Linked DNA regions of Styela clava. Each later gene encodes a partner of the first gene's protein in a complex. Links are inferred from orthologs where the notes say so. Each region holds a gene or a part of one and is shown on either strand. Other genes may lie near its edges. The genes, in order: rabphilin-3A-like and synaptosomal-associated protein 25-like.

What was found.
Region 2: the proteins of rabphilin-3A-like (region 1) and synaptosomal-associated protein 25-like are in contact, whole or in part, in a crystal structure (PDB 5LOW), measured with the Rattus norvegicus proteins. The link is inferred for Styela clava from reciprocal best matches to the Homo sapiens genes RPH3A and SNAP25. Residues at the interface, in NP_598202.2 of Rattus norvegicus: His617, Ser618, Ala621, Ile648, Ser649, Ala650, Lys651, Gly652, Leu655, Tyr659, Leu662, Lys663, Lys665; in NP_112253.1 of Rattus norvegicus: Glu38, Asp41, Ile44, Arg45, Leu47, Val48, Met49, Asp51, Glu52, Glu55.

The regions. Positions count from the first base shown.
Region 1 is NC_135257.1:13,557,154-13,573,025, reverse strand, and holds the start of rabphilin-3A-like, read left to right. Parts: upstream 1-9,236; 5' UTR 9,237-9,301; coding exon 9,302-9,375; intron 9,376-9,796; coding exon 9,797-9,931; intron 9,932-10,339; coding exon 10,340-10,472; intron 10,473-10,723; coding exon 10,724-10,798; intron 10,799-13,410; coding exon 13,411-13,502; intron 13,503-13,822; coding exon 13,823-14,034; intron 14,035-14,318; coding exon 14,319-14,417; intron 14,418-15,872. UniProt on the Homo sapiens protein: Plays an essential role in docking and fusion steps of regulated exocytosis.
Region 2 is NC_135257.1:17,694,766-17,710,556, reverse strand, and holds synaptosomal-associated protein 25-like, read left to right. Parts: upstream 1-4,481; 5' UTR 4,482-4,549; coding exon 4,550-5,179; 3' UTR 5,180-8,053; downstream 8,054-15,791. Other genes in the region: DNA topoisomerase 3-beta-1-like, read left to right, coding at 8,132-8,258, 9,589-9,757, 10,818-10,938, 12,772-12,951, 13,533-13,714.

The DNA.
Region 1 (15,872 bases):
ATCATAGAAGTTTAAATATCACCTCTCAGTGAGAAGTTTTGTATTCTTCTCCATCTGATGAAAAGCTTTTGGAACTAAATTAGGTACAGTAACGGCAATGTGAAGACAGAATACCGTTAATATTAGATCACTTGGCAACATGTTAAAACTTTAGTGGCACGAAAATACCGCCATCACTAGTGAAATACCATTTTAGGACCTTTAAAACGAGCAACGTACCACACTATCGCCGACCTAAATCAAAACAATAAAGGTCGGGGAGCAAAATTTTCGGGGCTAGTACTTTTGCGAGTTGGCGCCTGTAAAAGGGGGTATGTGTTTCAAATCATCATTATGATTCATCGCATACAACAATCTGTTTTTTTATAAGTACCGGTAAATAATTCCAGGCTAGTCTATCACAGCTATCTCTACACTAATTTTGATTGCTACAAATAAACAAGAGAGCTATGCTCAAATATATGGACACGTAGAGTCACATAATTTTGATGACGTCATAGCGAAAAAAAAAGTAATAGCCTTCTGGAGAAAAATTTTATCTTCAACCACTGAAAATTTCAAAGCAATTGGTCCAGTATTCGAAGAGAAAAGCGACTTTTTGAAAACGTGTCAAAGAACAACAACAAGGATAACAAGAACAAGAACAACAACAACATAATATTGAAACGATCGTTATGTCCACTACGTGTCCAATAATGTTTACAACCACGCTTGAAAATCTGTCTAAGTCAGAAAAATGTCTGATCGGATGCGAAAAGGGGGCATTGTTACGTCACTTTTTGTACCGTATTTTGCTGATTAGCCAATGTCATGAAGTAAACAAGGAAGTCGATGCTCGCGGAAAGGTCAATGGTGAAGCATAGGAAAAATTTTTCAGGAGTCAAAGGTCGGCGAAAGGTCTATTGTGACTTCGGGTTCTGCGATTAGTCGTAATTTTGATCTCTTTACCAGGGACAACACTAAAAGGCTGAAGGAAGAAACGGATGAAGTGGAGGGAAAGCGGAAGTTGAAGTGTTCCCAAAGGTGAAAAATTAAAAAACACTAAAAGGCTGAACACTAAAAGGAAGAAGTGGATGAAATTTCTTCCGACGGGTAGTTAGGTGGCTGAAGTCACTAAAAAGCTGAACACTAAAAGGAAGAAGTGGATGAAATTTCTTCCGACGAATAATGGGGTGGTTGAAGTCACTAAAAAGCTGAACACTAAAAGGAAGAAGTGGATGAAATTTCTTCCGAAGAATAATGAGGTGGTTGAAGTCACTAAAAAGCTGAACACTAAAAAGAAGAAGTGGATGAAATTTCTTCCGACGAATAATGAGGTGGTTGAAGTCACTAAAAAGCTGAACACTAAAAGGAAGAAGTGGATGAAATTTCTTCCGACGAATAATGAGGTGGTTGAAGTCACTAAAAAGCTGAACACTAAAAGGAAGAAGTGGATGAAATTTCTTCCGACGAATAATGAGGTGGTTGAAGTCACTAAAAAGCTGAACACTAAAAGGAAGAAGTGGATGAAATTTTTTCCGACGAATAATGAGGTGGTTGAAGTCACTAAAAAGCTGAACACTAAAAGGAAGAAGTGGATGAAATTTCTTCCGACGAATAATGATGTGGTTGAAGTCACTAAAAAGCTGAACACTAAAAGGAAGAAGTGGATGAAATTTCTTCCGACGAATAATGAGGTGGTTGAAGTCACTAAAAAGCTGAACACTAAAAGGAAGAAGTGGATGAAATTTCTTCCGACGAATAATGAAGTGGTTAAAATCACTAAAAAGCTGAACACTAAAAGGAAGAAGTGGATGAAATTTCTTCCGACGAATAATAAGGTGGTTGAAGTCACTAAAAAGCTGAACACTAAAAGGAAGGAGTGGATGAAATTTCTTCCGACGAATAATGAGGTGGTTGAAGTCACTAAAAAGCTGAACACTAAAAAGAATAGGTGGATGAAATTTTTCCGACGAATAATGAGGTGGTTGAAGTCACTAAAAAGCTGAACACTAAAAGGAAGAAGTGGATGAAATTTCTTCCGACGAATAATGAGGTGGTTGAAGTCACTAAAAAGCTGAACACTAAAAAGAAGAAGTGGATGAAATTTCTTCCGACGAATAATGAGGTGGTTGAAGTCACTAAAAAGCTGAACACTAAAAAGAAGAAGTGGATGAAATTACCTTCCGACGAATAATGAGGTGGTTGAAGTCACTAAAAAGCTGAACATTAAAAGGAAGAAGTGGATGAAATTTCCTCCGATGGATAGTGAGGAATACTTGAAAATTTAATATATTAGGAATTGGGTAATTTAATGTTTGTTCTGTTCGTATTTATGAGACAATGTCCTCGTGGATTCGTTTTTTGTTAATTTTTTATATGTTATGCTCAGTTCGAGCCTGCCGAATTGAAGGCCATGACATTCTCGTTATATTCTTTTTAATTTTGATGTAATGTGCAAACAAATTAATATATATATATTTTCATATCTAGCTGTTCTAGATCAACAAACCTCGTAATTTATAATATGTTTGTGGCCCACCTCAAAATGCCTCTGAGGCTTACCAGTGGCCCATGGCCCATTGGTTGAGAACCAGTGGTCTAACAGGACTTCGATTTGACTAATACATCATTATTCAAAGTCTTCGTGCGTGAACTGCTTGCAAAATTTATAAAAACAGATATTAAGTTCAAGGAATGAAATACGGAATCAAAAATAAATTATATTCGGGCACAATATCACGGCAATCTATTATTAATCACGGCAATTATCACGGCAATTATTATTAATTTTTGATTCCTATTTTCGTATTTACAAAATACAACGGCGATCCATGGACTTAAAATGTGTGGTAAACTGCCCGATTATAATTAATTCTTGATACATATTTTCGTATTTATAAAATAATAAAAGATATATATGCGGACATTGAAGTGCCCGAATATAAAAAAAATCCATTCGTATTTACGTACTCACGAAAAAATTGTCGCAAGTCAGAAATATAATTTATACTTTATCCCGCTTTTTGGCAAATAATTTGGATAATGGTTGGTATTTAAAAGTATGGACTTTTACTAGGATGATTTTGTGTTGCGCAAAATGTTCAAATCTATGACCGATAGCACTATTTTAAATGCTTGCCGTATTAATTTAATTCTGATAACGTAACTCATGGTATATAAAAATATATCGCAGTAATCTGCAAACATGAAATGCATGGTAATATAGTCATGTTGTAGATAACAGTTATTCCATTGTTTATTGTATGCAAATTCCTTCATATACTATAGATCAGTAGTCGGCAACCACCGGGCCGCGGCCCATCGCCGGTCTGCGGAAAGGTCACTACCGGTCCGCAGAAAGGTGACATGAAAACGTACAATGCCATTGTTATCTTCATGTGAGGTTGGGTTTTTAAAATGGCAATTACAAAAACGAAAGATCGAAGTGGGTTTAACGTAAGAAATACGTTACGTGAATAGTATCACCTTCGTTTTTGAATGTATTGTCAACATACATTTTCTAACGCATATTATTTATTACATTAGATTAGTTCGTTTGTATAAAGGTGGTCCGCCAAAATTTTGGTCAGGCTTTATCGGTCCGTTACTGAAAAAAGGTTGCCGGCCACTGCTATAGATCATTGATTTTCAACCGGTGTTCCGCGGAACACCGGTGTTCCGCGAGAGACCTCCGGGTGTTCCGCAGAAAATTGCTTTTTTGCAGTATTATGACGTCATAACTGATATTTAACCGTCCGATGGATTTATATAAATTTCACAAAGCGCGGTTCACAACCGCTTCCAATCTTGCTATCATTTTCCACTACCTATCTTTGCGAAATGAGTTTTTAAGCATGGCCGGTCTAGGGCTGTGCAAAATATTCGAATAGCGAATACAATATTAAAATATTCGAATGCCATTTTACTATTCGTATGTACAATACCACATAATCTGTACCGCTTTGCTTGGGCACGGAATTCACGCCGGTAAATCGATCGCTTGGATTACGCGAGAATTCACCCTCGGCTTCCACTGTTATTATGCAAAAAGCGTGCCGACACTAGTCCGTAAATGTAGAAACGTCAACCCAAATAAGATATCTAAAATAAAGTTACCAGATTTTAAAGATGTTATTAGCCTCCGCATGCATGACCCGAATAGAAAATCATTTTCGGAAATTAAGAGTTACAAAGACGTTTTTTTTGGAGTGTTGAATTTGCAAATTCCGTAAATAAAATTATGAATTTCCCGGTAACGATATTAGCTATGATATTGGTCGGGGTATTGATTTGTTGCAAAATAAATGGTGACTTGAGGTGATTAATTATAATTAGCGTCTTCCCTTCTACTAGGTACGAAAAGCACTTGGGCACAAAATTGTTTACAATTTTTTTGGTATCAGGTCGCGTATGTAAAATATCGTTCGAGAGTGCTGCCAAACGACAACGTAGAAATGCCTTTATTTCAGATTTTAAATCAACATTCTTTATTCACGCAATCACAGCTTCACAGATTTATCTAATCACAGTATCAAATTGATTTATTTCGAAAATAACACTGAGCCTAAGAAAGTCAATTGTCGTCTTAATAATAAATGTGTGCATCCCGTTGACGATAATGATAATATTATTTGCTTAAAACTGGGACATTTAATTTGCAAACGGCGATAAGTTAGATCAGAGTCGGCGCAAAAGATAAATATCAGAATACAATTAATTTGGCTTTGAAATCACTCCTTAATGTCATTAAAATCTGTCGCTGATGTGAACTCATAATTATATCAATAATATGAAACTTCGATCTCCGCCGACCCACGGGAATTAATAGTTGCGCAAAAGAACAAATGGCGGGAATTTAAAAACGTTCAGGGGGACAAAATATCAGCGCATATGACGAAATTAACCAGTAAAAATCGCTTTGTTGCCGATTTTCAATGTTTCTATTAATTTCCAAATCTACCTCCGACGTTCTGGACCCTGCTGCGTATAAAAAATATTCGGTATTGGACTATTCGGTATTTGTTAAGAATATTCGAATTATTTGATTCGAAAAAATATTCGATTTTGCCCACCCTTTTCTTGGCCGCCATAAGAGTATAAAAACACGAAAAATTGAGAGTCGTCGAGAAAGAGCTGCGTGTTTGTCTCTCTCAATTAAATTCCAGCCAGAATAAAAAATTGAAACTCATCGAAACAGGCCCAGATATTACATTAAAATACCATTTCTGTTCCTAGCTCATCAGTAGCTCTGAATCGGAATATGTGTAACGTCTTTTCCAGCTGAAGTTGACAAGCTAATATTAAATCTCGTTAATTTATTTTTTTCCGAAATGATCGATGTCAGTTAATTGCATAATATAGTTTATTTCCAAAATTCTCATTTGGTGTTCCGTCACAATTTTAGAATAAAAAAAGTGTTCCGCGATACAAAAAAGGTTGAAAATCACTGGTGTACGAGGTTAGGGATCAGGTTGTGCGACATCTTGGTGCGCATACTTCAGTAGTACAAATATTTCAATTTCAACGAAGTTTAAATTAAATTTCAATCAAAATTAAAAGTTTTCTAGAAGTCGGTATCTGATCGTTTATCAAATCATGTCAAGGCGTACCATAACTTAGTCGCAGAGAAGGTGTGCTGTTGCATATTTTTAACAAAATTGCAACGAACTTTCGGGTATACGATCCATTTAAATTTGCGTGTGATAGAAACTTAGGTCAGTCACTCAACTGACAGATTGAAGGAAATTAATTACCCACACAGCACGTCAGCATCTCGAGTGATGATCAGGGTGTGTTGCGCTGAACATGAAAATGAATGAAGGCAGATCAATAAAAGTAAATAACGAAAAATTCATTTACATTCCCGTCTGGCAATTGGTGTTATTTGGAGTGTTTGTTTTTCTTCGCTAAACGGCTCTCTTTCTTTCGAATCGCGTAAATCAGATTCGAAAAAAATTGCGATTTTAATCGATTCAATTCATAAATCTAAAAGGGGCATGCCTACTCATCAGTCCGCTTTCAGGGTCTTCATCCAATCTCACTTCCGTCGGGATATGTTTTGGCTATTTAACTCTCCCAATGTTCGGTATTTTAGTGACTTCAACCGCCTCAAAATTGATAGGACAAAATATCATCTAACCCTAACGTACTTCTTCCTTATAGTGATTAGATTTTTAGTGACCTCAGCCACCTCACCACCCGTCGGAAGAAATTCCATCCACTTCTTTCTGTTAGTGTTCAGCTTTTCAGTGACCTCCGCCACCTCATTATCCGTCGGAAGAAATTTCATCCATCAGCTTATTAGTGACTTCAACCACCTCATTATTCGCCGGAAGAAATTTCATCAACTTCTTCCTTTTACTGTTCAGCTTTTTAGTGACTTCAACCACCTCATTATTCGTCGGAAGAAATTTCATCAACTTCTTCCTTTTAGTGTTCAGCTTTTTAGTGACTTCAACCACCTCATTATTCGTCGGAAGAAATTTCATCAACTTCTTCTTTTTAGTGTTCAGCTTTTTAGTGACTTCAACCACCTCATTATTCGTCGGAAGAAATTTCATCAACTTCTTCCTTTTAGTGTTCAGCTTTTTAGTGACTTCAACCACCTCATTATTCGTCGGAAGAAATTTCATCAACTTCTTCCTTTTAGTGTTCAGCTTTTTAGTGACTTCAACCAGTGACTTCGACCACCTCATTATTCGTCGGAAAAAATTTCATCCACTTCTTCCTTTTAGTGTTCAGCTTTTTAGTGACGTCAATCACCTTATTATTCGTCGGAAAAAATTTCATCCACTTCTTCCTTTTAGTGTTCAGCTTTTTAGTGACTTCAACCACCTCATTATTCGTCGGAAGAAATTTCATCCACTTCTTCTTTTTAGTGTTCAGCTTTTTAGTGACTTCAACCACCTCATTATTCGTCGGAAGAAATTTCATCCACTTCTTCCTTTTAGTGTTCAGCTTTTTAGTGACTTCAACCACCTCATTATTCGTCGGAAAATATTTCATCCACCTCTTCCTTTTAGTGTTCAGCTTTTTAGTGACTTCAGCCACCTAACTACCCGTCGGAAGAAATTTCATCCACTTCTTCCTTTTAGTGTTCAGCCTTTTAGTGTTTTTTAATTTTTCACCTTTGGGAACACTTCAACTTCCGTTTTCCCTCCACTTCATCCGTTTCTTCCTTCAGCCTTTTAGTGTTGTCCCTTTACCAGTGTTCCGCGGGTTACAGTTTGGGAAACGCTGCTCTAATCACTGAATCCATAGGTTCCCAAAGTGCTCCGTGACCGTACGGAGCCCCAGGGCTGCTAATACAGTAATATGCGTATTTTATGAGAGGGGTTGGTAGCCTAAAAGCCAAAAAGACTTTAGGCTGCCACCACTAATGTATTTTATAGCGAGGAGTCGGGAGTGTTTGTAAAATATTTTTTTATTCAAATTTTTATTATTAAAAATTAATGATTCTCTCCGGGTGACCGGTAGGCGCGGCGGTGTGGCTCAACGAGCTAAGCGTTAGGAATACGCTCGCCACCGCACCTCTAATTACAGAATTACTCTGAGTGGGTTCTCAGGTTCGAATCCCATGCAGGAATGGTTATGTGCGAGAGGATTGCTGGACTCCTCGCCGTCGTTGGGTGGTTCACGTAACCGCCGCTGGTCCGTTAAAGCTTCCTCTACCACCAAGTCTATTCTCCCGAAAAACAAACAATATATATAACTAATCCCATATCCGACTTGCAATGGTAACCGTACGAGAGGCCGTGGTTCGCCATATGGATAAGCCGTCTTATCGGCTTTCCTCTCCCCCTGGATAAATATGTAAATCCTATCCTACTGAATATCTTGAGTGTACAAACTTTGTAAAAGTTAAAAAGTCTGAAAGTTGGTACTGTAAGTTTCAAGATCAGGAAGAAATCCGCAGGATTGACTTGCCAAAAAACTGTTATGCTACGCCTACTAGAAGTACGAAACTACACGAGACCCATAAGTGGTCCATGTATTTTTGAAAACAAATTTATTATAATGCTACCGGTAACACTGTAACAGGTGTGTTTGACTTAGGTAATTGCTATCTTGTTGTATTACTTTTACTTTATATCTTTCGTTGGTAGTTACGATCAATTCTGTCAATCTTATATACCGGTACTGATATAGGAGATAGATACAGTCTGATATTCTACAATAATAAGTCATATTGGGTTGGTACCCATAGTTGATGCTTTGATTTTCTAAAGAATCATTTTTTTCTGAATTCTGAATGGATATTTATAATTGAGAATATACAATCGATAAAGACAAATCTAAACACTCTACTCTAGTATACAAATATTTTTTATTATGCTTCTGTAATTTTTATTTAGAATATGTTCGACATATCAATAAGGATATCTTTTTATTGACTTCATCTATTCTATTGCATTGCAATATAATTACTTATTGGTAAAAATAGATAATATGGGAGATGAGCAGAACAGTCTAGAAAATGATTCAGAAATTGAGGAGAAAATGATGAATACGATTCCGCGCATGCGTGTCATGTATCCAGAAGCAATAACCAAATCAATACAAAGAATAAATGCTTTTAAAGCATCCATCCATCAGAAACAGGTCTTAGAATACAAACTGAAAATTGCAGAAATGAAGGATTACACTACTGACACATCATCTCTGGATTATGCTTTGAACAGAATGAAATCTTCATCGTGGTATAAATCGAGAGACAGCCTTGAATAAAGCTTAAAAGATATAAATGAAAAATACAAAAACCTTAGAAATCACAGAACGACTGATTTCATATCTTAATAATTAACATTTTTAACAGAAAGAGGGTCATTGGTTATGTGATATCCATGCTGCACTTTGTGTTGTATTATCAGAATTGATTGTATTCAAAAATACGTTATTTTGTGTAATATCAATTGAATTTTAAAGTTAAAGACTCTTTTTAATATGGAATATATTGATGATATACAAAAATAAATTTGTTTTTTCAACAATTACATTTTACTATGGTGCTGTCACATTATCGATATAAAAGACTTAGGTTGTTGAACATAATTTTTTTCTATAAAAGCCACTGCTAAAATGTTATAGCACTTCAATAATATTCTATAGATTGAAGATTAAATTCACATTTTTCATCAATGTTATTACTGCCTACAGTTAATGTTTCTTAGTTTTTAAACCTTTTTCATCATATTTTCTGGTTGAATGTACTTAATTGCTTATTTTTAAAAAAAATGTCAATATCGACAATGTACCGCATGTATGTATGTGTATATATTTTTCAGATAAATTGAGGTAATGTAGCATAGCAAATGTAAATATGCATGACGAATCTAATACCTCAGCTTGGATTTGCCCTAATGATCGTCATTTGGCACTCAGAGCTAAGTTGAGGTAATTATAAATACAATAATAATAATCATTGATTTGAAGAACAAAATTATTCACAATTTTTGACAAATTTCTACAATTTTCAAGCTTGACTGATAATGAAATAGGTTAGAGATATAGATAAAACTTGTTCATTGAATGAATAATATTTTCACTCAATCATTTATTGCTGTTTAATTTTGTGAAAAAGCAATCATACACCATACTTAATTGAGTCCCCTTTCGTGGTTGTAACCTAAACAGCAAAAGTTAAAAAAGCTTTTTTGTGAAAATGGGAGAAATAACAGTTTTTCTTGTGTTATTGTCGGATGATAATCTTTTAATACCCAAAGGACTTTGTGCTGCCACACTTGGGTCATGCTGTATGCGCACATTTAGAAAAGTTATTAATGTAAAAAAAAAAAGACTTATTAATTATATTTAGGTCAGGATGGTCGGTAAGAACAAATCAGTTTGGTCGAACAGAATCAAATTCTCTAACTCATGATGAATTAGAAAAGATACGAAATGTAATAAATAAAGCAAAAATGTTGGAAGAAACTGAACAGGAAAGGGTCGGGTATGAAATTCAATAATTTTGATAAATAAGACTTTGATTTTGGTTGCCGATGGCATTCATGCATCAGTCGTAAATTTTTAATTTTTTTTTTCTAATTTCGATTTTTGTGTGTTATCTTGATAGATGAAATGGCAAACCATGGCGTTTTTCTAGTTTCCAGTTCAGATCAGGCATGGAAATAGTAATTCACCAATTTTGATTGATTGGGAAAGCCATACCTCACGAGCGGTTACGTAAACCACCAAGAGTCCATCAATCCTCATATCCTCTCACACATATTTTTTCACACAGTATTCATATCTCTAAATCCACGCGAGGTAATTCGAGGTGTGGTAAAATGTATCAAACATTGAACCTAACTCAGTTTGTCTATTGGTTTATAAAGTCATTTATTATGTTCATTTCTAGGTCACTCGTGCATCACTTGAACATAATGCGACAGAATTCAATGGGAGATGGTCAAGCAACTTGCATTCTCTGTGCAGAACAGTTTGGGAAATTTTCGAGAAATGCACCAATCATTTGTATGGATTGTAAGAAGGTAACTCTGCTTGTCAAATTGCCAAACTTTAAAAAAAACTTCAATTTTTTACGTGTTTAATGACAGTTTCTATTTTGAGTGCAGTGATTGTTCCTTGTGATTCATATTATTATAAGTCTGCTATATTGTAATTATCTTAGCTTAGACTAAGCCTAATTCTCCTGTGTATTACAATGGCGGTAGCCCATTTCAAATTTTATCTGAAATACTATCATTAAAATTAAAATAATTTTCCACTTTCTTCACGACAGAAAGTCTGCAACAAATGTTGTGTGGATTATGATACAGGACAACAACATATAAATGGAAAACAAAGTTCTGCTCAGGTAGGCCCCATTCCTTCAATATATTTCATGTTATAATTGATAGTAGACGTTACTTTTTTGATCATACTTACTTACTTTAATCTTTTAAATTGAGCCTTTTTTACGCTAGAGTTCATACTAATAATCATTAGATATTTATTATCCAATTATTGAGTATCAAGGTTATGATTTCTGACAATTTCATCTAATTGATTGTTATTCTCCATTCTTGTCCTCCGTATTTCCTATTACCGGTAATTACAGCCCAATCACCCATACATTTTTATTTATTTATATATATACCGGTACTTTAGGTCAGGGGTTCTCAAACTTTTGGTGTTGCGGAGCCCTTGGAAGATTGAATATTATTCGCGGAGCCCCAAATTGAATGTAAAAATTGTTACTTTCGGATTAATATTCCTGAGCAAGTTAAAAGTACTTTACTTATTTTAAATGCTGAACCTTTTTTAATAGGGTTAACACAAGTCATAAATAAATCTTAATTTTATACTAAAGCTGTAAATTTGACACTTGACGAACATATTAATAAAGTAGGGGTCGAATCTTTCTCTTTTGACATTTTTGGAATACTTAAAAGGCCGCTAATAACGTGCGCGATTTCATTTTGTTACAATCACCGATTTTTTTCGTCAGCATGGCGTGTTTTAAACATCTTTACGCTGGTGTTTATTCTCCCTAAATCAAAAATTTCCCTCGGCATATACATGTATTGTTACACATTGACGACTCTAATTGCTTTTTTGTTCTCGTGGGGAATTATGAGTTCAATGTGAAAAACATGTTACCATATTATAGTCATCGACGACGAAATGCTAAAAATAATAATTAATGAGGAGGTAAATCCGCAACTCTAATTTCTTGATTGAAAAACGGCATTCTAAAATATTACAACTGAAACTTAAGAATGGAAGATCACGCGTTTGGTTTCAGCAGACTCCCCTCAGATTGAAAACGCTTTTATAGACATTGTATATTCACAAAATTTGGTGTTATGTTAGGTTTTCATCGTAGTAACTGCGAAATCGAATTACAGTCAATTGTGTGTGCTATGTTCCATTTTTTTCCCATTCTGAAACTACCGACGGAGCCGCACGCAATCAATTGTGCGCGCGATCCGCGATGTACCTTTTTTCATTCTGAAACTATCGACGGAGCCGAATGCAATAAAATAAATTTCAATTGTTCGTATTTTGCCCAGACATTGTGATTTTTCAAACGGTGATATCTTGCTTAAAAATAATCTCAAGTGCGAAAGAACAAATCAAGTTTGACAAATCCTAAGGTCGCAAAAATACGACTCCAATTTATTTATAGTTGGCAGTTTATCACATATTTTATGTTATTTTAAAATAGTATACTTTCATTTTAGTAAACCTAATAGTAATCTCGAATTAACGGTATGCACAATTACATTATAACGACGAGACACGTTAAATGTTCGCATCGGTCATGGATTGAATATTTTACGCAACAGAAATCTCGTTATCAGTATTTTTAATCGCGAAGAATATTGCGCGAAAATTTCCGATTCCAATTTTAAACCCCCTCCCTCTTAAGAATCCTGGCTGCGCTCCTGCTTATAAATAATGTCATTTTTTAATTCCGCCTATTTACCATATTTCTAGGCTATATTGTTATTAGATTTTATATGTTATTGCTTCTTTGAACAGTTACAAAATTTTGAGTCAGTATTTTGAAGAGTAATCGAATAGCTCGCGGAGCCCCTGGGTTTCTCTCGCGGAGCCCTGGGGCTCCGTACGGAGCACTTTGAGAACCTATGCTTTAGGTGACCAAGTATGTATGGTCCACTATTAATAAAAATTATGGATTTTTACATAGTGAGAAATATTTAAATTTTTCTTGTTGGATTCACCAATTTAATATTACAGTTTACAAAAAACTGTTAAATATTAAAATCTGAAAAATATGGAAATTTGTGTTTTGCACTCATTGAGGGCTAAGGCGTAATCTTACTTCATACTGCCAAATATTTTGGTGCCTAATAATCGTTGGACATTTATTATTCAATTATTTGACTATCAAGGTTATGATTTATGACAGTTTCAACTTATTGATTGATACTTTGCCATTTCCTATTAATTACACTCAACTTTTGATAAAAATATGGATTTTTACTCACTGAGAATTATTTGAATTTCACTCGTGGGATTCAACAATTTAATATCACAGTTTACAAAAAATTGTTAGATATTATTAAAATAAAAAAAATATGATAAATTGTGTTTTGCCTTTACTGAGGGCTAAGGCCTAATGTAATCTTACTTCATACTGCCAAATATTTTGTTGCCTACCTATAAGTACAAGTATTTGAATAGTAAAATTACATTCTAATATTACATTCCTCCCCCCCCCCCCCCAAAAAAAAAAAAAATTATGGAAAGTCCCAGCCCCTGCATGAGGGTATGTTAAAATACTTTAGGGAATTTTATAAGAAAAATTCATAAACCCTTTGTGGATTGCAATGTACCATCGAAGATACATTTTAAATTGAGATCAAGAATTTATTCTACAATCTACAGAGTGATTAAAATATTTTTTTGTTACTTCATATGAAGCATAGCTGAGCTGAGATGCATATTATACTTTTACAGAATCTATCTATGAATTGGTTATGTAAGATCTGCAGTGAAAATCGAGAACTTTGGAAACGTTCTGGTGCATGGTTCTTCCAATCACTTCCAACGTATGTTTGCTTTATCGTTATTAAGTAATATGTTTTTGTGTGAACTTTTGTTGGATTTGTGAAATTGCAAACGGATGAAGTATTTTACTTTATTTTATACACCTTTATATGCCAAACATTATTTGTACGAAGCACACTTTTATTTCCTAATTTAATTTAGGACTTCAAGAACACTCAAAAAATGAAAATTTCCTTTCAGCGCTTGTTTTGTATTAATTAGAATTATCATGTTGGTAATATAAATGTCTTCCATATTTCTACTAGATTGTAAGACTTTATAAATAACAATCAAATATGCATAATATTTCATTTTGTTTTAGATACAAGTTGCCGAATTTCAGGCATTCTGATGTTGACCATATTGAAAGAAGGCCTCAACGACGACCTTATGTCCCTGAAGTCATTGATTCGCCTAAAATGCATAGGAAAGATGTTCTTGCTCTTCCAGATTCACCGGTTGTGGGTGGCAAAGGGCATCGTAGGACGGTTTCTGCTGGTTCGACTGGGTCATTTCAATGGACTAAGCCATCAAGTATGTCCAAATTTCGACAAATATTATTATTGAAATTGTAAATGTGTCATTGTAATGAAAACTAAATATTGATATATTTGGATTTATCTGATCCCTATGTATTAGTTCCACAATTCTCTGACTGATCTTTGTTTGAAACAGGAAATGTTTGATCATGAAAATGGAAATCATTGACTATGTCACAATCAACTATTTTACATATCAATTTAATATTAAAAAACGTCAGTGTAAACTACAATATAGATGAATTTTTGGATTATAAAACCCCTATTTTTGTATTTTAGAGATTCATTTGACAAGTAGTTCTGAGTTTGAAGAAAGCTCATCAGATGACGATGGAATAACTTTAGGAAAAACTAATAAACCATCAAATATGCAACTGAGTATGTATTATTCAATGTACTGCATTTATGTTTGTTTTATTATACCTGATTTCCAACCAAAGACAAATATAGTCGTTCTTGTAAAGGAATTTTGCTTTGTTTTTGGGGTACTATTACTGATATTCATAGTTCTTTATTATTACCAAAATACTTTGCTACTAAAAAAGTTTGCATGCAAAGTGAGGGAGAAATAAAGAGAGAATAAAGGCCGAAGATTTGGGAAGATTTTCTTTTCAATCAAACCGTTACCTTATCTTGTATCAGAAATTGAAGTATTTTCGTATTTTATTTTACTTCAAATTTTACATGATCATGATTTTTGGATCTTTCGTTATAAATTTTCAAATCTTCTTAAAATATTCAAGTGATTGTACTTGGGGTATTGATCATCAATCAACATGTTTACCCAATCAAGCCTTTTCTTTCAATTGTGATTGGTGGCTAGGGAATGTAATTTATTACAAATCCCTAAGGATATTAGCAACAAATTCACGCTTATATTAGATTGTCCTCCTGCTGTTTGCGTGTTTAGTAATCTCTTTATGGATTTCTATGCTTATTGAACCTACCTTGTTTTATTCATGTCATTATTCTTTTTTTCATACTTAGGTTGGCCTATGTATTAGATTATGACGTATTGATCGAATTTAAAATAATATCATTGATCTTTAGAATTAAGAATAAAAGAAATATGTAGACTGTGAAATGAATTAATTTTGCAATTTGATTATTTTCATTGGATGTTTTCTTTTGTAAAAATTATGGCTTCCAGGCATTATTAAAATAAGCGTAATCAAATTAACTATCCAGCTATGATTTTTTAGCAATCACGTGAACATGATAATATTCATTAATAAATGCTGTAGTATTTAAGTTATATATTGGAGTCTTTGATGAATTGTGTTATTTTTTAAACAAAAATAGAAGAGAGTATTTATAGTAACGGAATGTAACATTTTAAAATTGATACATGTGGCTTATACACGGGCGGACGTCGAATTGTCAACCATCGAAATTAGAAAATTCCTATTCTTAAATGATATTAAATATTTATTACAGTCCAATCACCCACAAATTTTTATCTATATATGAATATACTTATAGTGACCTAAGTATTCATGGTCCAATTAGGATAAAAACTATGGATTTTTACATGGTGAGAATTATTTAAATTTCACTCCTGGAAATCAACAATTTAATATTACATTTTACAAAAAAATTGTTAGATATTAAAATCTGAAAAATATGAAAATTTGTGTGTTTGCACTCATTGAGGGCCAAAGCGTAATCTTACCGGTACTTATTTTATTCTGCCAAATATGATGTTGCCTACCTAAAAAGTACGGGATAAATCACTATCAAACAGATCAGTCATTAAATATACCTTTTCCGTGATTATTAATATTCAATTGGCAAATTTATTCGCAAACATTCGATATGTTTATTTTAGGCTTG
Region 2 (15,791 bases), about 4.1 Mb from region 1:
TTACTTTTTTTTTCGCTATGACGTCATCAAAATTAATGCCACTGCGTGGCGCTACGTGTCCATATATTTGAGCATAGCTCTCTTGTTCATAAAAAAAAACAATTGTGATATTTAGCTTAGATTTTAATTTTCTTGTTTTCGCGACTGTGAATTTCATGCTTGTTTACCATCATATCTGGCAACACTGTATAGAGATATTATTGTTCAGTTGATTTTGATTCATTTCCCGGCATTTGTGGCTTGCCGGACTGAGTTAAACATGGATATATGTAATTTAGTAATCTGTGAACGTTTAGGACGCCTTAACTTATTCTATAAGATTATAAGACTAGGGGTAAATGGGACGTGCTTGGTATGGCTGTCGCATGGCGAGTGGTCCATGGCGAGTTAGCCCTCATGGCGAGTTAGCCTCCACCCGTACAGTCCAGTAGTCAGAGGGTACCTGTACCATACTCGTTCAGGTACCAGAGTACGGTACCGTATCCTAACAGTTAAAACAGTACTGACTGCAGTATGAGTTTGAATTTCAGTTGCCTTTGTGTTCACGGTAGTTGTTTTATCATATAATACAGTACGGTACCCTGGTACCGGTAATACTGTACCGGTACCGTAATACTGTAATACAGTAATAGTCTACTCGGATTGAAATTCTTGTTATACAGGTACCGGTACGGTACAGTAAGTTGGCGGTAATTAAAATCTAACCTCAATTTCCAACTAAAAAGGTACATACCGTGCAGGGAGTACAGGAGTATGTCTCATGCCAAATACAGAAATAGGGTGTCATATAGTCTAGCTGTATAGCCTAGTGTTTCACGCAATACAAGTTTTTCATTAAAAAAATAAGATTTGAGACACTTTTCGTATATTTAAGCAGTTGAAGTATTTTATTTTCACACTACTTTCAGACTTTACTTTTCAACGTTATTTAAACAGTTAGGGTGGCTTACCCACTTTGTGGCCATGACCTATCTGCGACCATCAACTCCATCGATTAAATTAATGCCGAAAAAATTAACGAACCGCGACGTTATTTCTCACGCGTTATCGTCCACTTATCCCTCGTAGCTTGTTTATAATTTGAAGAATTTTGTTCGAAATAACCGTGTTCTTAAAATATATGACGGTCATAAAATGCAATTAGAAGCCCATTTTTTCACGCATGGCTGCATATGCCCTAGTCTCGACGCAGCAGAAATGATGTTCAAGGCTTGAAATCTGTGATCGCACACTGGTCGTTTGGTCGCAAATACGTCTTCAGAGTGTCGTACTTTGGGGATTTGTATAGCTTTAACCCCTGGTCGTAGAAAGTTAATGAAAAAATTAACGGGTTAGAAATGATGGTTTTTGTTTTATAGCGGTTTGAATGAAATCGTTCGCAGACTGGCTACACCACCCTACAGCATTTATTTCACTGGAGCCCATTTGGGCATAATCTCCGATTCCGAGATGCTCGAAATTTGCTTCCATAAAACAATCTCTTTGTTTGTCTATGAAACAAGATAGTCTGGCACAGCGGCATAAGCGTCACAACGCGCAGGGATGGCCAATACCGAATAGTTCACTATTTCGAATACATTCGAAATTATTTTTTTCGAATATGAAATTTCGAATACTTCGAAAATAAAATCCACTAATTGAAGCTTATCTAAATGTATGTAGGAATTTCCATACAATGAGCAATGGAATAACTGCTATCTACAAGTTACAACCTAGCTATATTACCAGGCATTTCATATTTGCAGATTATTGCAGTATATATTTTATATACCATGAGTCATGTTAACAGAATTAAATTAATACGACAATAGTGGTATCGATGATGGATTTGAATATTTGCGCAACACAAAATCACCCTAGTAAAACGCCCATACTTTTAAATACCAACCATTACCCAAATTATTTGTCGGAAAGCGGGATAAAGTATGAGGTATTTTTCCGACTTGTGACAATTTTTTCGTGAGTACAAAAATACGAATCAAAAATTAATTATATTTGGGAACTTTACCACACATTTTAAGTCCGCAGATCGCCGTTGTATGTTTGAGTAATAATACTTTTATTATTTCATAAATATGAAAATAGGAATCAAAAACTATTTATAATCGGGTAGTTTACCACACATTGTAAGTCCACAGATCGCCTTGTATTTTGTAAATACGAAAATAGGAATCAAAAATTAATATTAATCGCGAGTTTGCCACACAATTTATGTCCACAGATTGCCGTGATATTGTTCCGAATATAATTAGTTTTGATTCTTATTTTCGTACTCACGAAAAATTGTCACAAGTCGGAAAAAGAATTTATATTTTATCCCGCTCTTGGGAACTAATTTGTATAATGGTTGCCATTGGTTTGTATTTAAAAGTATGGACTTTTTACTAGGATGATTTTGTGCTGCGCAAAATATTCGAATCCATGACCGATACTACTACTTAAAATGCCTTACCGTGTTAATTTAATTCTATTATCATAACTCAAATGTTGGTAAATCGGGCAGTTTACCACACATTTGAAGGCCACAGATCGCCGTTGCATTTTAGAATTATTAGTTTTATTATTTTGTAAACACGAATCCGAAATTAATTATAATTGGGCAGTTTACCACGTATTTCATGTCCACAAATACCCGTTGTATTTGGCATTAATACTTTCATTATTTTAGCAATATACAAATAGGAATCAATATTTAATAATATCGGTCAGTTTACTACACGTTTTATGTCCACAGATAGTCGATACAACCATGAGTTACGTTGAACAGAATTAAATTAATACGGCATGACATTTTAAATGCTGGTACCAGTCATGGATTGGATTATTTTGCGCTATAAAAAATCATCCTGGAAAGGATCGATACTTTTAACTATCGTTATCAGAATTATTTGCCAGAAATTATTTTCTAATAAATCGACTTGTTTTTCCAACTTGTGACAATTTATTGGATATCGTAACAATTACGGCTATAAATACCGTATTTCCCGGCTAATAAGTCCACATGGCAAATAGGACGATGTCTATTTTTAGCACTCAAAAAAGGGGTTTTTCCATATAGGCCTCCAATAAGACGGGTAGAAAAATTCGCTAATAATTTTATATGTTTAGAACCAGATCATGTTAGTTTGGTAGAATCATACTCACAGAATTAACTATTTTTAACAATTGAGCGGTAAATTTAAGTTGTAAAGCGGCAATCATTTAGGACAACCTATTAACCCGAATGTTGAAATAATTTTGGAATGTGATAAGTACTACACTGTACGTCCACGGGTTATTTCACAGCTGTGTTTTCCTGTCCCTGTGGTGTTTTGCTGAATCGGCAAAACGAAAGGGTCACAAATCACTTTTTCTTGGTGGCTGTGTTCCTCTTTAAAGTAACGATAACCAGCCTGCGATTAAATATCATGATTGGCAGACCCTAAGACCCAAATATAAGGTTACACAAATCATGCTTGAGAAGACTCATGCGAATAATAAGCAGGCCACATAGAAATAAAAGAAACATACTTTCTCAATTTTTCGACGTAATGGAAATGAATTTGTAAATTAAAAGCCTCGTACACGAATGTCGGCAATGTCCACCCACGTAAACGTGCAAATGTGTCGCAACACTATGCGACGTACGGTCGCACAGAATATAAACAATCAAAGTGCCGATTTAAAAAGTCGTTTAAAGATTCCCGTAAAAAAAAAACGAAACACCACGTTTACGGCAAAAAGTGGCTACTATTCGGAATTATTCGAAAATCAGCCGAAAAGGTATTCGAATACCTTGATATTCGAATATATTCGAATATTCGATTCGTTTTGGACAACCCTGACAACGCGTCATCCATTTTTCAGTCATAATTGAAGTAATTCCTGCATTCGCGCTATGTGTCTGCTGACAGCCCGTCACATGACCGAAATTGCGTTTTTTTTCCTGAAATCGGACTATTTTCTTCAGAGAAATCGAATGTTCACATTTTTAGCACAGTGTCGGAGGCCCATACTGTCTAGTAAAGGATGAGAATTGGGATCAGAGAATTGTGTCACACTGCTGTACTGCATATACCAGTAATAAGAATGATTAACTCTGATATTCATTCATGTACAGATGTATTTAATGCTATACCTACCTAGTCAGACGTTACTTATTAAGCTCCGTAAAAACTTGCGAAGGTTAGTGAGCACGTACCACTTACTTCTTTTAGCCACCCCATTTATTTTTAAATTCTATACGTTTCAAACATTTCTACTTAGAATTATTTTTTTTCTCTCCTGGTTCTGTATCAGCAGGTATACACTAATAGCAGAATATATTCAGGTGTTTCAATCGTTTGTTATTTGATTTTGCGCAATTCATGCACAATCAGAGCGCGACAGTTGTATATGGGATGAGTGAGACAACATGTGTATCTAATTTAGGATATATGGAGTGTCATTGTTGCATTGTTATCCTATAAAATATTTCTCAATGTATTTTTAAAACTTCAACTTTCATACCAAATAGCAGATTGTATTCTAATTTACATATTTAATTGTGTAGTCATCAACAAAATAAACTATGGCCGCAGATGATGACATGAGAGGCGAGCTCGCCAACATGCAGATGAGGGCGAACCAAATTACTGATGAGTCTCTGGAAAGTACTCGTCGTATGGTTGGTCTGATGGAAGAAACACAAGATGCTGGAATCAGAACCTTAGTTATGCTTGATGAACAAGGAGAACAACTCGATAGGATCGATGAAGGAATGGATCAAATTAATCAAGACATGAAACAAGCGGAAAAAAATTTAGAAGGATTGGAAAAGTGTTGTGGATTATGTGTTTGCCCATGGAATAGAGCTAAAAATTTTGAAAAAGGTGACGAATATAAAAAAGCATTCAGTAAAAATCAAGATAAAGTTGTCAGCGACCAACCCGGGGCCAGGATTCAGGATGAGAGAACGATGGCACAAGTTGGTGGTGGATACGTCAAGAGGGTAACAAACGATGCACGAGAAGATGAGATGGAAGAGAATTTGACACAAGTTGCTGGAGTTATCGGTAATCTGAAGCACATGGCTTTAGATATGGGCAATGAAATCTCATCACAAAACAACCAAATTGATAGAATCAACGCAAAAGCTGATGCAAACAAGGGCAGAATTGATTCCGCTAACCAACGGGCTGCAAAAATACTCAACAACTGAGTATATATTCTTCATTATTATTGATAGGTCAATTCAGATTGTTTAAATAGTATCATATGATCCGGGACTCCCCAGTCAGCTCCTCAGAAGAATAAATATAAATGGAGGAGCTTGCTAAATCTACTTGTGAATAATTATAAAACTAATCAGCATTGTATTTCTGAAGCAGCACTTGAGTGTTTCTGATATTTTTCAAACTGATATTATTAGGCAAAGATTCTACGTTTGACTTGGAAGATTTTAAACAAAGATGATTGAAATTTTTTTATCTGTTCGGTAATTCATAGCAAAATTCTGCTTATTTATTTTAGCTTTTGTCTGTCAAATGTAAAATTCTGACTAAAGTTAAGAAAATGTTACACCTCTTTGAACAGTAATTGATAATCTTTATTCATTTCTTTTTAATTATAGTTGTTCTGTAGCGATTTTTTTCATGAAATCAGTAATATTGAAAAACGATTTCCATTATGCACGTTTAACAGTGCATTAATGTGAGTATTATGGGGTTGTGCAATATTGCATGCTTACATTGACGATGACCTGGTTTGGTTATTGTTGTTGATGAAAATTTTCTAATATCCCAAATCATAACCTATAGTACATTTATGGGTTCAGCCTCTTCTTATATGTTCTTGAGAATGACAAATGTTATGGGTGGTAGTTTGAAATCTAAAATTAGTAGAGCGCAACATTATGCTTGAGTATGAATCCAACCCTTATTATTCCATAGAGACAAAATTCTCACGATAAAAGACAAGAAATAATCTCAAATAGTTTTCTATATTGCCAATCAATAAAACATATTTTGATATTATAAGTCAGATATCATTAATTGGCGTCATTAATATTCAAAATTATAGTATTTTTGAATATGAAAATTCCCAACGTTAATTTGTTATATACAATATGAGTTTGATTGAATTTTTCTTCGAAGCCTTGACAACCCAACTGCATCTTGATATCCAGTTCAATCAAATGTTGCATTATAATATTTTAATTCATATGTTTGATTCTGATTGGAATTCCTTCATGAATATTTTATTAAGGTCAATGCATTATACTCGACACTCTACAGACTATTCATTTGTTTGTAAAATGATTTATTTACGAAATGACATTTTTTGACTTTTCCAATCGATTCGGGTTCATCGTCAAAACAGTCAAAGTATTTTTATCAAAGATTGAAAATTGATTTTTCATGTTGAAACTTTTGTTGCTATGTTAAGTAAGTCTGCAACTATTGGAATGATAATGACATTCTGTGACATTTTTCATCTTCAGACCATCTTTCATTTTGAGAATAAGGTGACTTTCACGTTTACACTGGTGATTGGTTGTTCATTTTCGACATTTTGATTACTCAACTTTTTCATGCCGATATTTGGAATAAAATTAGTTGTAATGATTTGAATTAAAATCATAGTTGAATAAGCACGGAGATCTTTGGTACATTTTGGATTTTTAAAACATTGGAAATGACTATCTTAAACTTGTAAATTTGTGAATTATATTAAGAGTATAAACTATATAGAATTTTTTAAATTTATGAGGTAGTGGTTAACAATTTTCGATAATTTAGTGAAAGCTTTTTAGTGACATGCCATGCAGCGAATTCATGAAAAGATTAAATTAAATAAAATCTAGATATACCATGATTTGGCTGGGATAGAGAAAATTTTAGGACACTATCATCATTTATCTTATTTTACAAATTTGTCTTATTGCTAAGAGTAGAATTATCTTCACATTGGTGGCCACCCAATGTTCAATAAATGTTTTCATACCGCTCTAAGGTTATAAGCTCTCCGTAATTATTTATTACACCAAGTTATGTTTCTAGTAAACTCAAGGACACTCTCTTCATCCAACACCACCATTCAATTAGGTTCATCGATTTCTTATCATTTTGTGTAGGCTGTTTACTTCGTAAGACCTATTATTAATATTTGTGTTCTTTTATGATATGTACAGTATGTATCGATTATTTTTTGATCTAAGTATCTAATGTGTTGTTTAACTTATATATTTTCTGAGATGGATATTGAATGTGAATTGTTGAAAACTTTATAATAATCCTGAATTTTTTTCTGGTATGTCATTATGTCCACGTTCCTTGATATAAACACCTTAAACAAGAATTCTTTTTCCCAAGAATGTGTGGCATGTTTTGAATAAAAAGAAAATTGGTTAATATGTTTTATACCAAAACAGCAAATTTTGGAACACTTTTTTTTAGGTCTTTTTTTATTTTCAATTTATCCAATGATTTTATTTTGTAATATTCTACCTATGTAATAAAATGATTATTTCAGCAATTGTCATGACAATGAATCCTAAATATAGTAAACCTGATAATATACCGCAGTGAGAATTAATCGATGAAATATCTACTTGGCCATCTTGTCGATTATTGAAATCTGCCAAACTTTACAGTGAAGATTTCTCAATTGTATTGATTTAATACTATAAAGTTACACCCTTTGCAAGCACAGTCTTGTCTTGTTATCTGTTTGTTAAAGCATTAATAACTACAATACTCTTGAAGTTCATACTTCTATAGGGACTTGTAACAGCTGTCTACTCATAAATATTTATTATTCGATCTTTACGCCCGCCCAATGTTTGTTTCTTGTAGTATAATATGTTACTCGTCTGCTTCTGCAATGTCACGCCCCATCTGTTGTTTTTAAACACCAAAGTTTATGTTTTCAATGTTATTATTATTATTAAGATTGTTTTCCCCATATAGCGACTGCGTTATTTTCATTCTTTTGTTCAATTTACTGCTATGGTTTTAATCGTTTTCATCTGATATGTATGTATTATATTCATTTGAAATATTTACTGTACTAATGAATAAATTTATATTTAAGACTAGAAAAGTATAGACAGTTTGTCACTTCCACCTCCAGGATTACATATCTCTAATCCATAGTTTCCCATGAATTAAGTATGAGGACAGTGTTAATGGTTGCGGAAAAGCCGTCTCTGGCTCAATCCATAGCGAAGATTTTATCTCATGGTTCATGTAATACGAGGAAAAGCATCAGTGGATCTTGCCCTGTGCATGAATATGATGGTATGACATATTTTTTGATCTATTACTCATTTAGTTTCTAACAAATTGAAATTATGACATGGTTTTAATCTTGTATGAACTGGTAACGAGTCGACATAATTACTATAGTACTTATTTTTATTTTCTTGTTAAATAATGTCTTCTCTAAATTGGGTTCATATATTTTCCTTATACCTTTTTTAACATGATGTCAATTTTTTTTTTTATAATCCTCATCGCCGCCCAATTCTCTGCTCAACAGTCTTTTAGACACAGTTAGTAATTAGGTGACTTTTACTATTTTTTAAAAAGAATTCTGAAAACATTATAAAGTACTAATTTCAAATGGGGAATATTGAATCAACTTCAAATGAGACCATATTCTTTAGAAGTTTATAGGCCTATATGAGTTTGAATTTTAAAATACTGGAATTTTGAAATAAACATTGATGCCCTGTACGTGAATATGAGGGTATGACGTAATTTTGCTTTATTACTCATCTAGTTTCTAACAAATTGAAATTGTGACATGGTTTTAATCTTGATGAACTGTAAATGAGTCAAAATAGGTACTGTAGCATTTAATTTTGTATTCTTATTAAATAATATATCCTTTAAATAAGACTTATGTAGTTTTCTTCCAATGAATGTACTGACACTATGGCAATTGTTTTCTTTTTATAAACCATATCTTCATCGCTCTGAACAATGCTTTGCCCTTTAGCCTTTTAGACACAATGAGTAATTGAGTTGGTCTGATGAATCCTACCGTTTTTTTTTAATTGACTTAGTTGAGTTTCATACATATTATCTACTATGCCCACAACGAGTGATGGCTAAAATCTTTTAATTCTATCTTCTGAATACAATCTAAAATAATTTTTTTTTATCGACGTTTTGTAGATTAGATTCGATTTTCTGGATGAGTCTATGTATATTCAATGAGTTTCAATGATAATTCGACTAAAAAAGGGCCTTCCGGAAGGCCCTATTTTGGGTCATTTTTGCAAAAAATTCTCACTGCACATATAGTTGAAAAACTTTTTAGCTTTTCAGCTTTGAATAGTTCATTAATAAAGGTTATTTACAGACACGTGCCTACCGGAAGGCCCTTTGTCGAATTATCATTTAAATAAAAATACTTGATTTCGAAATAAACAACTGTTTTAGTATTTTTTATAATCAAAATTTTACTCTGAACAAAACTCATACCTGTTATTTAAAATATCAAATATAATAAAATTTGAATCAATTCTACTATTATATCATCTTGGATATCTAACTGCCAGTTATTTCAACTAAGTAGTTTATGGATTAATGTAAAGGCATTGACTGTATTAAATTTTTTCAGATAAATTTTATGGCGAAAGAGTCAGCTTCAAAGTCACGTCTGTGTGTGGCCATGTCATGTCATTGGATTTTGAAGGAAAATATAATAACTGGGAAAAAGTTGATCCTGGGGAATTATTTTCTGCTCCAACTATGAAAAAAGAAGCAAATCCCAAATTAAATATTATCAAGTATGAATAATTTTATGAATCATTTTAGCCAAAAATGGAATTTTAATATACTAAAATAGTTTATAAATAATAAATGGGAAAATTTTATCGCAACGGACTCGCCATAGTTTGCTTTGAGAATTCTATTCTGGTTAATAATGGAAGTGTCTCATGTTTGACGAGTCACGACAGATTTTGCTCTAGACAAGGCTTCATACAAGAATGATGATATTATTCAATTTTTAACCAATCTCTGTTATTCTCATTATTTGGCTGACCAACCAGCTGTATGATCTATAACAGGGTGTGCAACAGGCGGGCCGCGATCCACAACCCGACCCACCAAGCCATTTAGTGCGCCCCTTGTCACTCCAATTTCATTCCATAAAACATAAAATCCCAATTCGACAGTTCATGCTTATTGGAAATGGGTAAAAATACATAATTTTTTTTACTCTCGTCACCGTGTTAAATTTTGCATTGGGATAATTTTTCAATTTGTTGTGTGCATGGAAAAACTATTTTCATTTGTGTGTCCAAACTAGATGTCTTGGTCTTATGGCTCACCGACAAAAAATGTTGCACACTTCCGATCTATTTATAACTTGTGATGCTTATTGTTACTGATAGTGATTAAATTATTGATCGTACTTTTAAAATAGGATTTTGTAAGTATGGTATGTCCTTATTTGAATAATTTAGAATTATATAATTCTGTTCTGCAGTGATCTTTGCTGTCGAGCATTATATAAAGTAGGTCTATTTTGCTTTGAAAAAATGCAGCATCGGAGGGGGGGAACATATTAACATCTTAAGAAAAACAATTGTCACATGGAATTATGCTATCAGTTGTGGTTACGCCAGAGAACTGCCAATCCTTCCTCCATGCCATTGAACTGGCGTTTAACAATGTAATGGAACTTCGACTCAACCCTCAAAATTATCCCCTGGTATATATGAATCATCTAAGAGATATTATAATTATTAATAGGTAATAAAAATCTTATGTCTAAAATCACAAGTTCATTCTTTCTAAAGTGTCCCATTAAATCTTTAATTTTAAATATCGTAACTAATTTAGGTTTCTGGAAAAAGAAGCACGAGGCGTAGATGCGATTGTGCTATGGTTAGATTGTGATAAGGAAGGAGAAAATATCTGCTTTGAAGTTTTAGACATTGTGGAACCAATCATGAATAAAAGTGTGAGGCTTATATATTTTTTTCATTCATTTATGCTTCATATTATTTGGTAAGATTTATGTAAATAGTGTCCATGCCGCCTTAATTTTTTTTAAATTGCAAAGGGAGTTTATAGATACCACATTCCACATATTGTTTTGGCCCTCACAGATGTATTAATGGAGTAAAAATACTTGAACAATTACTGATTAAAAACATCAAACCTAGTTAAGTTATATTGAGAATTGACTTCATAACAAAATCAAACTTGGTTAATAGACTTTATGGAACCCCTTTATGTTAGAATAGGTAGAATGTAAAGCTGAATAATTATAGTTAGGTGGGAAAATACAAAAAATAATGCCTTGAAATAAACCTTTGAATATATTTTTTGTTGAATCTTTTTAATGGAAAAGAGAAAAATAGGGAAAAAAGTAATTATACTGGGGCTAATTTTAGGCAAATTCTCTTGAGAAAACAATGGTTTGGTAACATGTACCTGAAAATATTCTTGCGAGAGGCTGACAAACTTGGGGGTTGGGTGAGGTTCTAAAAACAAATAACGGAAATGCAACTACTTTGCGGCAGATAGGCAGCCCTAGGGAACTTACATTGATTTGCTCCTAATGATGAAGGAGCCTGTATTTATCAATCAAGTCGAAAGAAATAAAAAATTGTCAATTGGACCCAAGTGTGCCTTGTACTGAAGTTACTTTACCAATCAATAAATAGCATCAGTGATATCAAGTGCTATTAACCATCTTCACAGATGGCAACTTTTAAAATCAATTTTTAAGTTACTAAGTTTCCTAGAGATTGCAATTGTATTGATTTATTGCTATTATTGATTATTATTGGTTGTGAAACATTAATGTGTCTGACCCATGAAATAAGGATGAGTATCAATAAAAAATAAATTTATTTAAATGGAATTGAAGTATAGCAGGGAGACCAAATAAATTTTCTGGTACTTGGATGTCCAAAATGAGTCGCATGTTATTAAATCGATTGCAAATTGATACTAAATATTTTAAATTTGCGTTCGGATAAATAGATTGAGATTTTTATTCCAAAAAATATCATTTTGAAGAGTTCATGTGTTTGATTCTTGAAAATAATGAAAAAAAAAGTTGAAAAAATGAATAAATTTCCCAGAATGTATATAAATATTCAAAAACACCAGATTAATAAAAATTATTCAACATATTTCTTATAACGATCTAATTCAAATTTGCATCAAGTAATTTCTTACAAAACTTATTGAAGTATGATATCAATGATTACATCTTCGATTTCGAAGTTAGTCATGGTTTTAGGCCAAATACAAAAATAAAGTTTTCATTGTATTTGATTGAAAACATCTGAATCATTGCCAAAATGTCTGAAGGTAATTGGCTTAAATACAAGGTTAAATTATAATTTACATTTTGAATTAATTTATCGAAAATACAATTGAAGATTTTTGAATAAAAATTGAAAAAATGTTGAGTCTGTCTGTCTCGAAGTATATCATCAATGGATTATCATGTACATGGAAGCCAAAACCTACCGTAATTACCGTTATGCTATTCTTAAAACCTTTCCAATATAATATTTATGAATATGGAATTTCAATTCTATAAAAAACACATAGTGTGTATAATCAATCCGGTTTGAAATACAGAAATTATTTTTAAAAAATTGAATGAAGGTATTCTGGTATTCTTATTTGGTTTTCCTAAAATGTAGTAACTTTGAATGTATTCAATTCGTACTGGACAATTCTGTTAGTATACCAGTCGATTTATTATGTCCAATTATTAATAAAGAATTCTCTAATACTTCACTCTTTTTATAAATATTATTTTCGTTTTCAGAGTGGACGCAAAAGAGTTTACAGAGCCCGGTTTAGCGCTATTACTGATAAAGACATTCACGAGGCAATGAGAAATTTAGCGGAACCTAATTATAACGAGTCACTCTGTGTTGATTCGAGACAGGAATTAGATTTGAGACTTGGATGTGCTTTCACTCGTTTTCAAACCAGATATTTTCAGGTTAGTTTGTCAATAACTCGACACTACTTTACTCAAATTGTACATTTAATGCATATATGAAGGTTAATTTGTAATTAAGATAATACACTTTTTTGCTCACTTTCTTTTCCAGGTTTTTGATAGTAATTATTAACATGTTTGTGACTTGGTTGATTTCTGTTAAAATTTCTTGTTTTGCAATTGACTTGTGAATGTGCCACATGTCTAACTTTAATGTGATTTTGATCTTATCTTTTTTAGTTAAGATAGGCTACTGAATTTGACAAGTATTTTGGGAAACTCCTTATTCATACTGACTAAGCAATCGACTTTCTGATTTTTCCCAAAAATTTATCAAAATATCCTTATATGACGTTTCCATAGGCTTGTTACTCCAACTTATACAAGCAGCCATCAGTAGACAAGCATATACTATAGTTAGGAAGGACCGGAATGTTCCCAGTCTGGGCCAGTTTATTGCACCCTATGTGAGGTGATGAACATTGGATCTGCACCTGAGATTTTAAACCCGCAATAACAACATAGATTTTTCCAGTATCGCACAAACGACTCCTTATTCATCAACTCATTTTTGATTCCAGGGTAAATATGGAAACCTGGATAGTTCTCTGATATCATATGGACCATGTCAAACACCTACTCTTGGTTTCTGTGTTGATCGTCACGATAAAATCCAATCGTTCAAACCAGAAAAATATTGGGTGATGAATGTGGAAGTTAAATGTCCCACAAGTGGAATCACAGTAAAATTAGATTGGGCAAGGTAAGATATGTGAGAACTAAGAGCTATGATCATTTTTGTGATTGTCTGGTTCTCATTTAGTAGCAATTAGCGAGAACAGACTATTAATCTTTTCCCAATTCCTTAAGCTAGCTTTTTGTATTATGTTGACCAAGTTTCTGTATTTTTTGGGCGCTCCCGTAGTATGTGAACCCATATGACGGACACCTGAACATAGTATGTTTACCAGGTTAGGGTTAGGCCATAATTTTATTCCAATTTTCTTATTTTACCATAATAATCCTATTACGAGTTCGGGGATTAGCCAAGTGACTCAAGTAGTATTTGTACCTGAATTTATGGCCTAACCTAACCTGGTACACGTACTATGTTCCGGTGTCCGCCCTCTTGGTTCACATATTATTGGAGTACCTTTTTTTGTTACTATGATGGCATCCCATGCTTGTATCTCAGGTTCAAATCCCATTCCCACCACCTCACTCAGAGTGTATTAAATTTTGTAGGCAATGACGATTCGGAAAAGATTTTAGTTTTTTCTAACTATAATATTTCCTTACCGAGAAGTTGTTCTTGTTAAGGAGCCTTGTGGAAGGTATATAAAACAGTATGAAACTGAGGTGCGGTAATCGCTTTACCCTGCAAAACAAAAGTTTCCAAAGCAATGTTTCTAGAATTTATTGTTCTGGAAGTTAATTGTAATTTTAATGTATATTCAAAAATTCAAAAGTCAAAGATAACTTTGAATCAAAACCATGTTCCAACTGACGTATTGCTAAATAGAATTCAGAAAGTCGGCTATTATACTGTCATTTTTCATTACTTGTATTTTCAGTAAACATCTTTATCAATGCTAAATTATATGGACATTGGAAATCCATGTTTAATTATACAATATAGACTTTTGATTTTTCATTCATTTGGCAACTGTCATTTCCAATTAGACATTTCCCTTGCCAGTAACCTTGCTCTAAATATAAAGGTTATTTTAAAGACAAAATGATATTGTGGAATAAAAAATATTGATTTCCAATATTCCGTCCAATTCATTGCGGATTGTTTTATTCTATATATTGCTATTCTTGGTACTGTGTTGTATTATTGACGTCTGTCTATGGCAATGACGGCAGAATTTATTATGTGATCTTAATGGTGTTGAAAATAAACTGACGAAACCACATTGTTTAACTTATAAATTGAATGGCTGTTTTTTTGTTTATCATTGTAAAATGGAATTAAATTATACAGGGTGTCCATAGAGTCTCTTTAAAATTTCAATTTTGTTATGAAGTCATTTCTCAATATATATTAACCAGGTTTGTTGTTTTTCAATCAGTAATTGTTCAAGTATTTTTACTCACAACAAAGTAAATGGTATAGATAAATTCCTTCTGCAATTTTGAAAAATTTTAAGACTTTATGGACACCCTGTATTATATTATTATTGAACTTCATTAACTCCAAAAAGTTATAGTGTACTAAAAAAATTCCGAATTTCAGTTTCTTCTACATTTGATTAGAAAATGCCTGAAGTGACTGTTAGATCACGATAATCACTACCACGAGTCTGAAAATCTGCTCAGTATTCGATCTGAAAAATTCAAATACTGAAAAATATGAAACTTTTATTATACACAAATCTCTGTATAATAGTTGCAAGTATAAGCAGTTTATGAATAATCAAAATAGTTTGACTATGTTTAGTCTACTTCAACACTTCAGAAAAAAGTTATTTATATTAAAAGCACAAATCAAATAACAGATTTTTTATGATTCAAATATTGATAGCAGTATAATCTAGCCACTTATGATGCTTGACCACCTTCATTATACCTAAATCGTAAAGCGATAAGCATCCAATTACCTAGAGCAGGGGTTCTCAAACTTTTGATGTTACGGAGCCCGTGAAGAGATTGACTATTATTCACAGACCACCACAGCAAATTTATAAAAATAAAAACAAAACAACACGTTGTTATTTACCGATTGATATTCCTGAGTAAACTAAAATTACGGTTCTTTATTTAATGACTCGGATGTATTTACTTATTAAGTAAAAGAATAGCTCGCGGAGCCTCCAAATTTTCACTCACAAAGACTA